Linked DNA regions of Diceros bicornis minor. The protein of the gene in region 2 interacts with the protein of the main gene of each other region in a pairwise test. Links are inferred from orthologs where the notes say so. Each region holds a gene or a part of one and is shown on either strand. Other genes may lie near its edges.

Region 1 (3,749 bases), on a different chromosome or scaffold from region 2:
TCGTTTTGAATCTACAGGTGTGGGAAACTGACAAATAGTTGTAACAAAAATCTTCAACTTACTATATTTGAAAAGCTATACAGGAAAAGTCTGACAAGCTACCATTCCTTTAGCCACCTATTCAAATAAAAGCTGCAACATTACAGAGATAGAAATAAAGGCATTGTTTCCACATTTTTGTGGGAATGTTCTAATAAACCATCTGCTCATGTATAAACTATATAAGGTCACAACTGACTTCCAATTGACAGGCAATTTAAGATATCAGCAATTTACATTAAAAACAGTTGGCTTGAATTGAGCAAATATGTTTAAGTAAAGTTGAAAAATAAAAATTGCTATGAATCAGTCGGGATTTAAAAATAATGGATCTATATAAAACGCTACAAGCAAAGGAAAATGAAAAAATTTATAGGGAGGCACAAGTAAGTTCATCCATTGTTTTCTTTCTAAGTTTTAAAACTCAAGTAATAGCTGATATTGATTCAATAACATCCTTCCTCGGGGGAATACACATCTAGGTTTGGAAGTGGAGAATGGGGTTTTTTTGTTTGATTTTTAATTTTTAGGTTTCTTTTTAAGAATGCCTTCCTTACTAAAACTTAAGTACTTATTGAAGTGATTCATGAAAGCTCGTAGAAAAAGGAATTCTTACCTGACACATTATTTAACATGCTTCGTAGCTCCCCCACTGCCGTTCACATGCTCATGAACCTTATTTTACCAGGGAAATAATGGTCTTATTCACACACACACACAGACAACCTTCCACACAAAATGCTACCAAATCCCAGGAAACTGACAAAAGCAACATTAAGATTCAGTGCAAAATAAGAATTCCATTTCCAAATCGCATCTATGAAAATACAAGATTGGTCTCATTTAACCAGTTGTAAAGTTCCCTTTCTGCTTAATAAGAGTAGTAAACATCATCTTACCATTATCTGTAGAAAAAAATCAGCAACGTGTTGCTTCCTGCAGTCACCAAATCAAGTTTTTTCTTCCTTTCTTTCTAGTAACTCCTTTTTCACCAGCAAGATGAGGAAGAAAATAAATCTTTGAGTATTTGCCTCAGGATTTCAGACCACAAGCTTATGAAACTAGCTCTTAGTAAAAAAAAGAACAGATCTGGTATTTTACAATCACTTCTGCAACCCAAAGGTACCTCTTAGACTCCTGTCCCTCCTTTCCTCCCTCGCTCCCTAAGTTTCTTTTAGTAATGAGACTAATTTTTCCAGTAGCCTTGAACACCCTAGATTTAACTGACATGGAAAATGTGACTAAAAACTTGTAGAACCGTCTAGCCTCCAACCCTACACAGAATCAACTTTGTTGTAAGTGTTGAAGAACACCTCGCAAGCAGCTACTTGCTCCGTCAGACTCCTGCACCACACAGCACAGCACACCAAATAACAGTGCGCCATCTAGTTAGCAAGTTGCACTCTCCATTCTAGAAGGGGGGACACCTTCAAACCCTGGGAGTTAAGAACTTGTCAGGGTTCAGCTGCTCTAAAGGTCCAATTGTTTATTTAAATAAAAAAAAAATATCGCTACTGAGATAATCCACATCTAGTGGATATGGGAAAATTTAGGTTATAATGGCACTACAAACTTTTACATCTAACTTTGATTTACAAGATAAAAGCAAGTTTTAAATTAAAAGGGCTTTCTCTTAATAGAGCTTATTATTCTGAAGACGGGAATGATTTTCTTCGAAAGTTGTCCCTGGGTGCATGCCTATTATCTTTGCTTTTCCCCTTCCACTAATGAGCATTTATCTAAAGAGCCTGTTAATCCTCTGATGTGTGCTTCTGGTCAGAGGTAACAGTTTGAATAAAACCACTAATCACTGATCACTAAATCACTGATCATTAATCACACTCTCCAGTGCCGGGGACCCGGGCCATTTTTTCCTCTAGGTCTGTGCATCACAAACAAGATGTTTCACATTTTAGATGCACATGGATTGTGTGGGGTTATAGTATTTCACCTCTAGATGTTAGTAAATAGTAAATACTGCCACAAACTTGGGGAAGGAGGTCAATTAGACCCCAGGCAGGAGTTTCACAAATGCCTACTCTACAGCACAGCTTTCATTTTGAAGAAAGTAGATCTGATTATAACAAGACATGTGTTCATCAAGAAATTCCCACATACTCAGAACATAAATTTTCCTTTATTTAGCTTTCACTAACTCCAAATCAGAAAGCACCCAAATCTTCTGACCCCCCTCCATCCAAAACCCTGTTAGTAAATTTTTTATTTGATTTCTGCTGCACACTCACCCCCACTACTAAGATTTCTTTTTATTTTTATCCCTTAAATATGTTACACAGTGTTGTTATTTCAACTGCCAGATACGCAGATTCTGACTCAATTCAGTGACTTATGTATTTAACATCCTCTTTAAATACAGAAACTTAAGGTTAAGAGAAAGAAAGTAACACACGCACCAATTTATTGTATGGTACTTTGAGTTCAAACACTCACATTCCCTCACTTTGGAAATGAAACGTTTAATCTTGATCCTTTCAGCTAAATTTGATTTAGTCAGCATCCTCCCTTCGTCTTCCCTCCTCGGCTAAACGGTTGGAGGAAGGCGCTCTATAGAATTAAGCACTTTGTTTGCAGTGGGTGTGTCGTTTTCCTAAGTCACCACAGGGACACAGTATCATCATAACGTCTCTAAACATTTCCTAAGATGCCTTTTCTATCAGGGCTGAGCATTTTCGCCCTAGAGAAGAGGGCTTGCTGGTGCCTTCCTTAAATAATAGAACAGGGCAGATTGTGTGTGCGCTGATCAGGTACTGTGCTCCCCTCAGACGCCAGAAGCTCTTACCCACACTCCAGGGACAGTGATCGCCCCAGGGAAAGCAGTAAAAGGGGAAGGCGGGGCCAGAGTGATAACGGTGCGGGCGGGAGAGGGAGTGGAGAAGGAGGGGTCCGGGAGGAGAGGGCAATAAAGATGCCCAGGGAACAGGCAATTGTACGAGTATGTTGGGGGCTGGGGATGGAAAGCAGAGTTGCTTTGTCAGCATTTCTAAGCCCCCGAACCCTTGAGTATCTGAAGCTGTTAATCAAACACTTACTGGCCTGCAGAATGACGTAATGGACCTGTATCCAGCCTTTATTCCTTGACACATGTCAGAGAGGGAGGGAAAAATAAAAATCAAGCACACTCTGCGGACTCCGACAACGAAACATACAAGCACCCACTCCAGTGCCTGGCCTTGAACAAGCATCAAGTGAGTGCAGTACCCGTTCAAGAAAAGTTGGGGAGGAGGTGGGCAAGGTCTGGGGCTTTATCTACCAGATACACCCCCCTTCCCGCCCCCGGAAATAAATCTATGGCAAAGAAGAAGCGGGATGCAGATGCCGAGAAAAAACATCTCCTTGGTTCCTTCGCACGTCTTGCCGCTCTGAGAACTTCGCGAAAAGTTTAAGCGGTTCCGTGGAGAACCTGCCAGAGAGGAAGGCTCCAGCCGCCGGCTCCTGGAAACTGCCACCGCGCCGCCGCGGCAAAAGCGAGAGCTGTCATTTGAGGCAGCGGCGGGGAAGAGGTAATGATGCCAGCGAGAACCGGACGGAGGCAGGAGGCGGCTGGAGGAGTGAACGCGAGTAGAGCCTCGCCACTTTCGAGCCTTCCGCGCCTGGAGCGAAAGCCAAGTGCCGTTCAAGGGCGACGTCCCCTTCCCGGGCGCGCGCGCCCACCAGCTGCGGCGGGCAGCCCTGCGGGAGAGGTGGCAGCA
Region 2 (3,749 bases):
AGGGAGGAGGGGACCGGAAGTAAACACACTACTCAGGCATCTGGGCGTGGAGGGGGTGCACTCTGCAGGGACAGAAGCCTGGTGGTTACCTCTCCAGTCTCCAGAAAGCTGGGGGTTGGGAGGGATGACTCCTCAGAAGGACATCTCAGACTGAGGCTGGAGGGGTGGGGGAAGACTGCTCCACCCCTTTAAGATCCTAAGGGTGAGAGCAAGAAGGAATGCTGCCCTTGTCCATCTGCTGAGGCTAGAGGGTGGGGGTCTGACCTCAGCCTCCCAACTCAGGCTCTGGCCCCTCCCCTCAATTTAGGAACTTCTCAGCTCCTCCCTAGTCCCAGCTAGGGACTGTTTGTAGGCCAGCTCAGGCACACACGCATCCTTCTTAAGATGGTTTGCATCTGACTCCCCCTCCTGCCCTCCCAGAGGTCCTGGAAAGTTGAAGGGGGAGGCTCCGGTGACAACATGCCAAACAGCCCCTCTGAGGAGTTAAAAGAAGTCCCTTGGGCTTTCTGTTTCCTACTTGCTCCCAGCTTTTTCTTCCCTTCTCAGCTAAGTTCCTTCTGGAACACTCAGGCACATCTCTGCCTGCCTCAAACACTTTTAGCCAAGGGATAAACTAAGTGGGTTGATGGTTTAATCTTTAAAGAAGTAGGTGATTTTCCCACTGCGATTTAACCTCCCTCTAGGGGCCAGCGTCCGGCACTGGTTCAATGAGGGCTTATTTCAGGCGTGACTACGATGGGCTGGGGGAACCTGGGAAGCAGAGTTGCAGCTAGAGCTGCCCGTCGTGGGTCCCCGGGAAGTCCATCCTGAAGTCCAGCTTTGATAATTGGGGAAGTGGAGCTTGGAACTCTCCCCTGGTCTCAAAGCCTGACTCTCCCCACCACCCTCCATTGCCCTCCAGCCCCTTCCTGCTCACTATGAGCTCTTCCCACCCCCACCCTTCATCTCGCTCTTGGTTCTGCTTTCCAGGAAAAAAAAAAAATGTTTCTGTTGGATCTGAAAGGCACCCAGGAGAGGAATCCAAGGAGCTAATGCGGAGGTGGGCCAGCTCAGGGGCAGAAAAATGACAGAGAGAGGGGCAGGAATGTGCTTGGGGGTAGCAACCCACACCCCGAGACCCGAGACCCGGGGACTTGAGAATTTGAGGGAGGGATCACAGTGGTTGAGCCTGAGCCCACAGGGTCACCTCAGCTGCTTCGGGTTGGGAAGGGGGCTGCTGATGGCTGCTCCTTCCTCTCGCTGGGCTGGCTACTGAGGTCAGCAACTCTGCCCTGATGGAGGGGGTGGAGGGTAGGGGCTCCAGAGAAGAGCCAACCTTCCACCCAAACCTTCAGCTCTCTGCCTGACTGTTAGTTGAGGTTGAAGGGAAGGAGAGATGGGGGTGATGGTCACTGTCTGACCCTTCTCTGCTGCTGGGTCCTCTCTCCACTGCCTCTCTGCCTCTGCTTCTCTCCGCTCCCCCAGGTCTATATCTTGCTGTCTCTCCTATGGGTCTACCCAGTACACATAATCCCATCCTGAGCTGGGTTTGGCTTTGGCAGTTCCCTGGAGAAGTGAGGGGTGGGGGATGGGGGTGACGTGAGCTCCTGAGGCCGCAGCCAGGCCTGGCTCCCTCTCTGGAACAGTCCCACCTCCCTCCTGCGCAGCTAGGCAGGGGGCCGACACCCCCCCCACTGCCCAAACAGACACACGTTTGTGCTTTCACCCCTTTTCATGTCCCTCATCTGGTGTGTCTCACTGCCCTTGGTGAGGGAAGGAGAGATCAGAAGTGGTTACTCTGGTGCCAGGCTGGACACTGGTCTAGACAAACCTGTGCCCCTCCTGGCCATACCTCCACACTGGCCACTGAGGATCAAGGAGGAGACCTGGGCAGGGCTAACCTTTCACCCCCAGAGGGACCTCCTTCTGGGAAATGGGTCGCTGCTGCAAGGGAGGAGACTGGACAGCATGTTTCAGGGCTGGCATGGAGTCCCCATCCTGGGTCAGAACTCCTTGTTCCTCACAGTGTGCTCCACTCCTGGGTCCTGGAGGACTATCCCAACAGGTGTCCATCCTTTCTAGTTATCAGTCTGAGCTAGATCAAGGGCACCCACCTGCATCCCTCCAAGCGCCCGTCCCCCAACTCCAGGACTGAAGGGGGTCCCGGGGGGCACACATCCTTAGAGGAGCGCAGGAGGCGCGTGCAGGAAGGTCCTGAGTAGTATGTTTGCCAACTTTTACTATGTGACTTAGTAGGAATTTTGGCTGATTCTCCGCCTGGGTGATGGGGCCAGAGTTCCAAGGGATCAGAACCCCCTCCCCAGGAATTCGACCCCAGGGACTGGAAGATCTTCCGAGGCTGTAAGAGCTGGGGCCGGGGTCGTGGCTGGGGGCCGACCTCGGGGCGCAGGGCGCAGGGAGCGGCGGCGGCGCGGGCGCGCGGGGCGGGTGGTCTAACCGGGCGGGGAGAGGGGGCGGCCGGGGCCGGGGGTCCCAGGGAGGGTCTGTACCTGCTCTGCGCGGCCCCGGCGGCCCGTTAACCCTTCTGCGCCCGGGCGCTCTCTGGAGGCAGCCTTGCTCCGCGGCGGCCACCGCGGCCCCTGAGCCGGGCTCCGGACACGGCCGCCTCCGGCCCGGCTCCGCCCCGGCGCCCCGCCCCCGCCCCGCCCGCCTGTCTGCCCGCCCGCCACGCGCCCAGCCCGCGCCCTCGGCGGCCCTCGGTGGGGGCGGCCCACCCCAAACCCCCTGCTCCCAGGGCCACCCACGCCGGGGCTGCGGGCCTGGCCACCCCTGCGTGCCGGGCGCCCGCCGATGGCTCGAGGGGTCCCAGCCCGGTTCGGAGGCAGCCGTCGCTCCCGGGCACTGTCCCTGGGCCGGTGCGCTGGGCCGGATCGGCGCTCGGGACTCCGGGACCCCGGCCCTCCGACCGGCTCCGAGTGGGCGGTGCGAGCGCTGCGCGGGCCGAGGCGGGGCGGCCGCGAGGGGCACCAAGGGGCTGGGTGGCGCCTGTACCCGAGCGGCGTGGCTGAGCGCCGGGCCCCAGATGGGGCTGCGCTCTGTCCCGAGACGGTCCCGCCCGACCCCAGATCCGCGTCGGTCGAGGCCCTCTCCTCCACGCAGCCTCTTATGCAAGCCCAGACATCGCTGCCTCTCCCAAGTTGGGCTGTGAACCACATGGTTCTGACTGCTCGGGGACGTCTGTGAGCCTCGCTTTCTTCATCCATAAAATTGTACACCGGGAACGTAGCGAAAGGAATGCGCTGACTTAAGAGTCAGACGATCTAGATTTGAATCTCAGTTCGAGTACTTGCCAGCTCTATGGTCTTGGATGAATACTTCAACCTTTCTGTGCTGCAGTTTCCTCATCTGTAAAATGGGGCCAATCTGATAGATATGATGGGTCTGGAGATATGTCTCTCTATTTATTTATGTCTGGAAGAATGCAACCCAAACTCGGAATTGGTGGTGACACCTGGAGAGGGGTGTGGGGCTGGGGGAGGGAAAAACAGGCTTTCACTTTTTACTCTATATGCTTATATGTTGTTTGAATTTTTAACCAAAAGCGTTATCTGTGTTATCAGTTATGTTAAAAAATAAATAATGTATATCAAATGGCTGACATGAGTAGACAATAAATGGTCACTACTATTTTTAATTTTTTTTTGCCATTTACTCATGAACCACAGTCATGTATTGTTGGATCTACTCAGTATTTTAAAGCTTTTGTTTTTTTCAGTAACTTGTCAATATTTTAAAACCAGGATACTTTA

Evidence for each region. The genes of interacting proteins can lie anywhere in the genome.
Region 1: the proteins of ADAMTSL4 (region 2) and CREB5 interact in binary tests that used the Homo sapiens proteins (3 or more experiments, as listed by UniProt). The two-hybrid records come from large-scale screens. The link is inferred for Diceros bicornis minor from reciprocal best matches to the Homo sapiens genes ADAMTSL4 and CREB5.

The regions. Positions count from the first base shown.
Region 1 is NC_080742.1:53,090,821-53,094,569, reverse strand, and holds the start of CREB5 (cyclic AMP-responsive element-binding protein 5), read right to left. Parts: upstream 2,225-3,749; 5' UTR 942-2,224; coding exon 939-941; intron 1-938. Other genes in the region: uncharacterized protein LOC131399887, read right to left, coding at 3,303-3,749. UniProt on the Homo sapiens protein: Binds to the cAMP response element and activates transcription.
Region 2 is NC_080743.1:54,979,093-54,982,841, reverse strand, and holds the start of ADAMTSL4 (ADAMTS-like protein 4), read right to left. Parts: upstream 2,599-3,749; 5' UTR 2,490-2,598; intron 197-2,489; exon of another isoform or gene 63-196; 5' UTR 1-62. UniProt on the Homo sapiens protein: Positive regulation of apoptosis. May facilitate FBN1 microfibril biogenesis.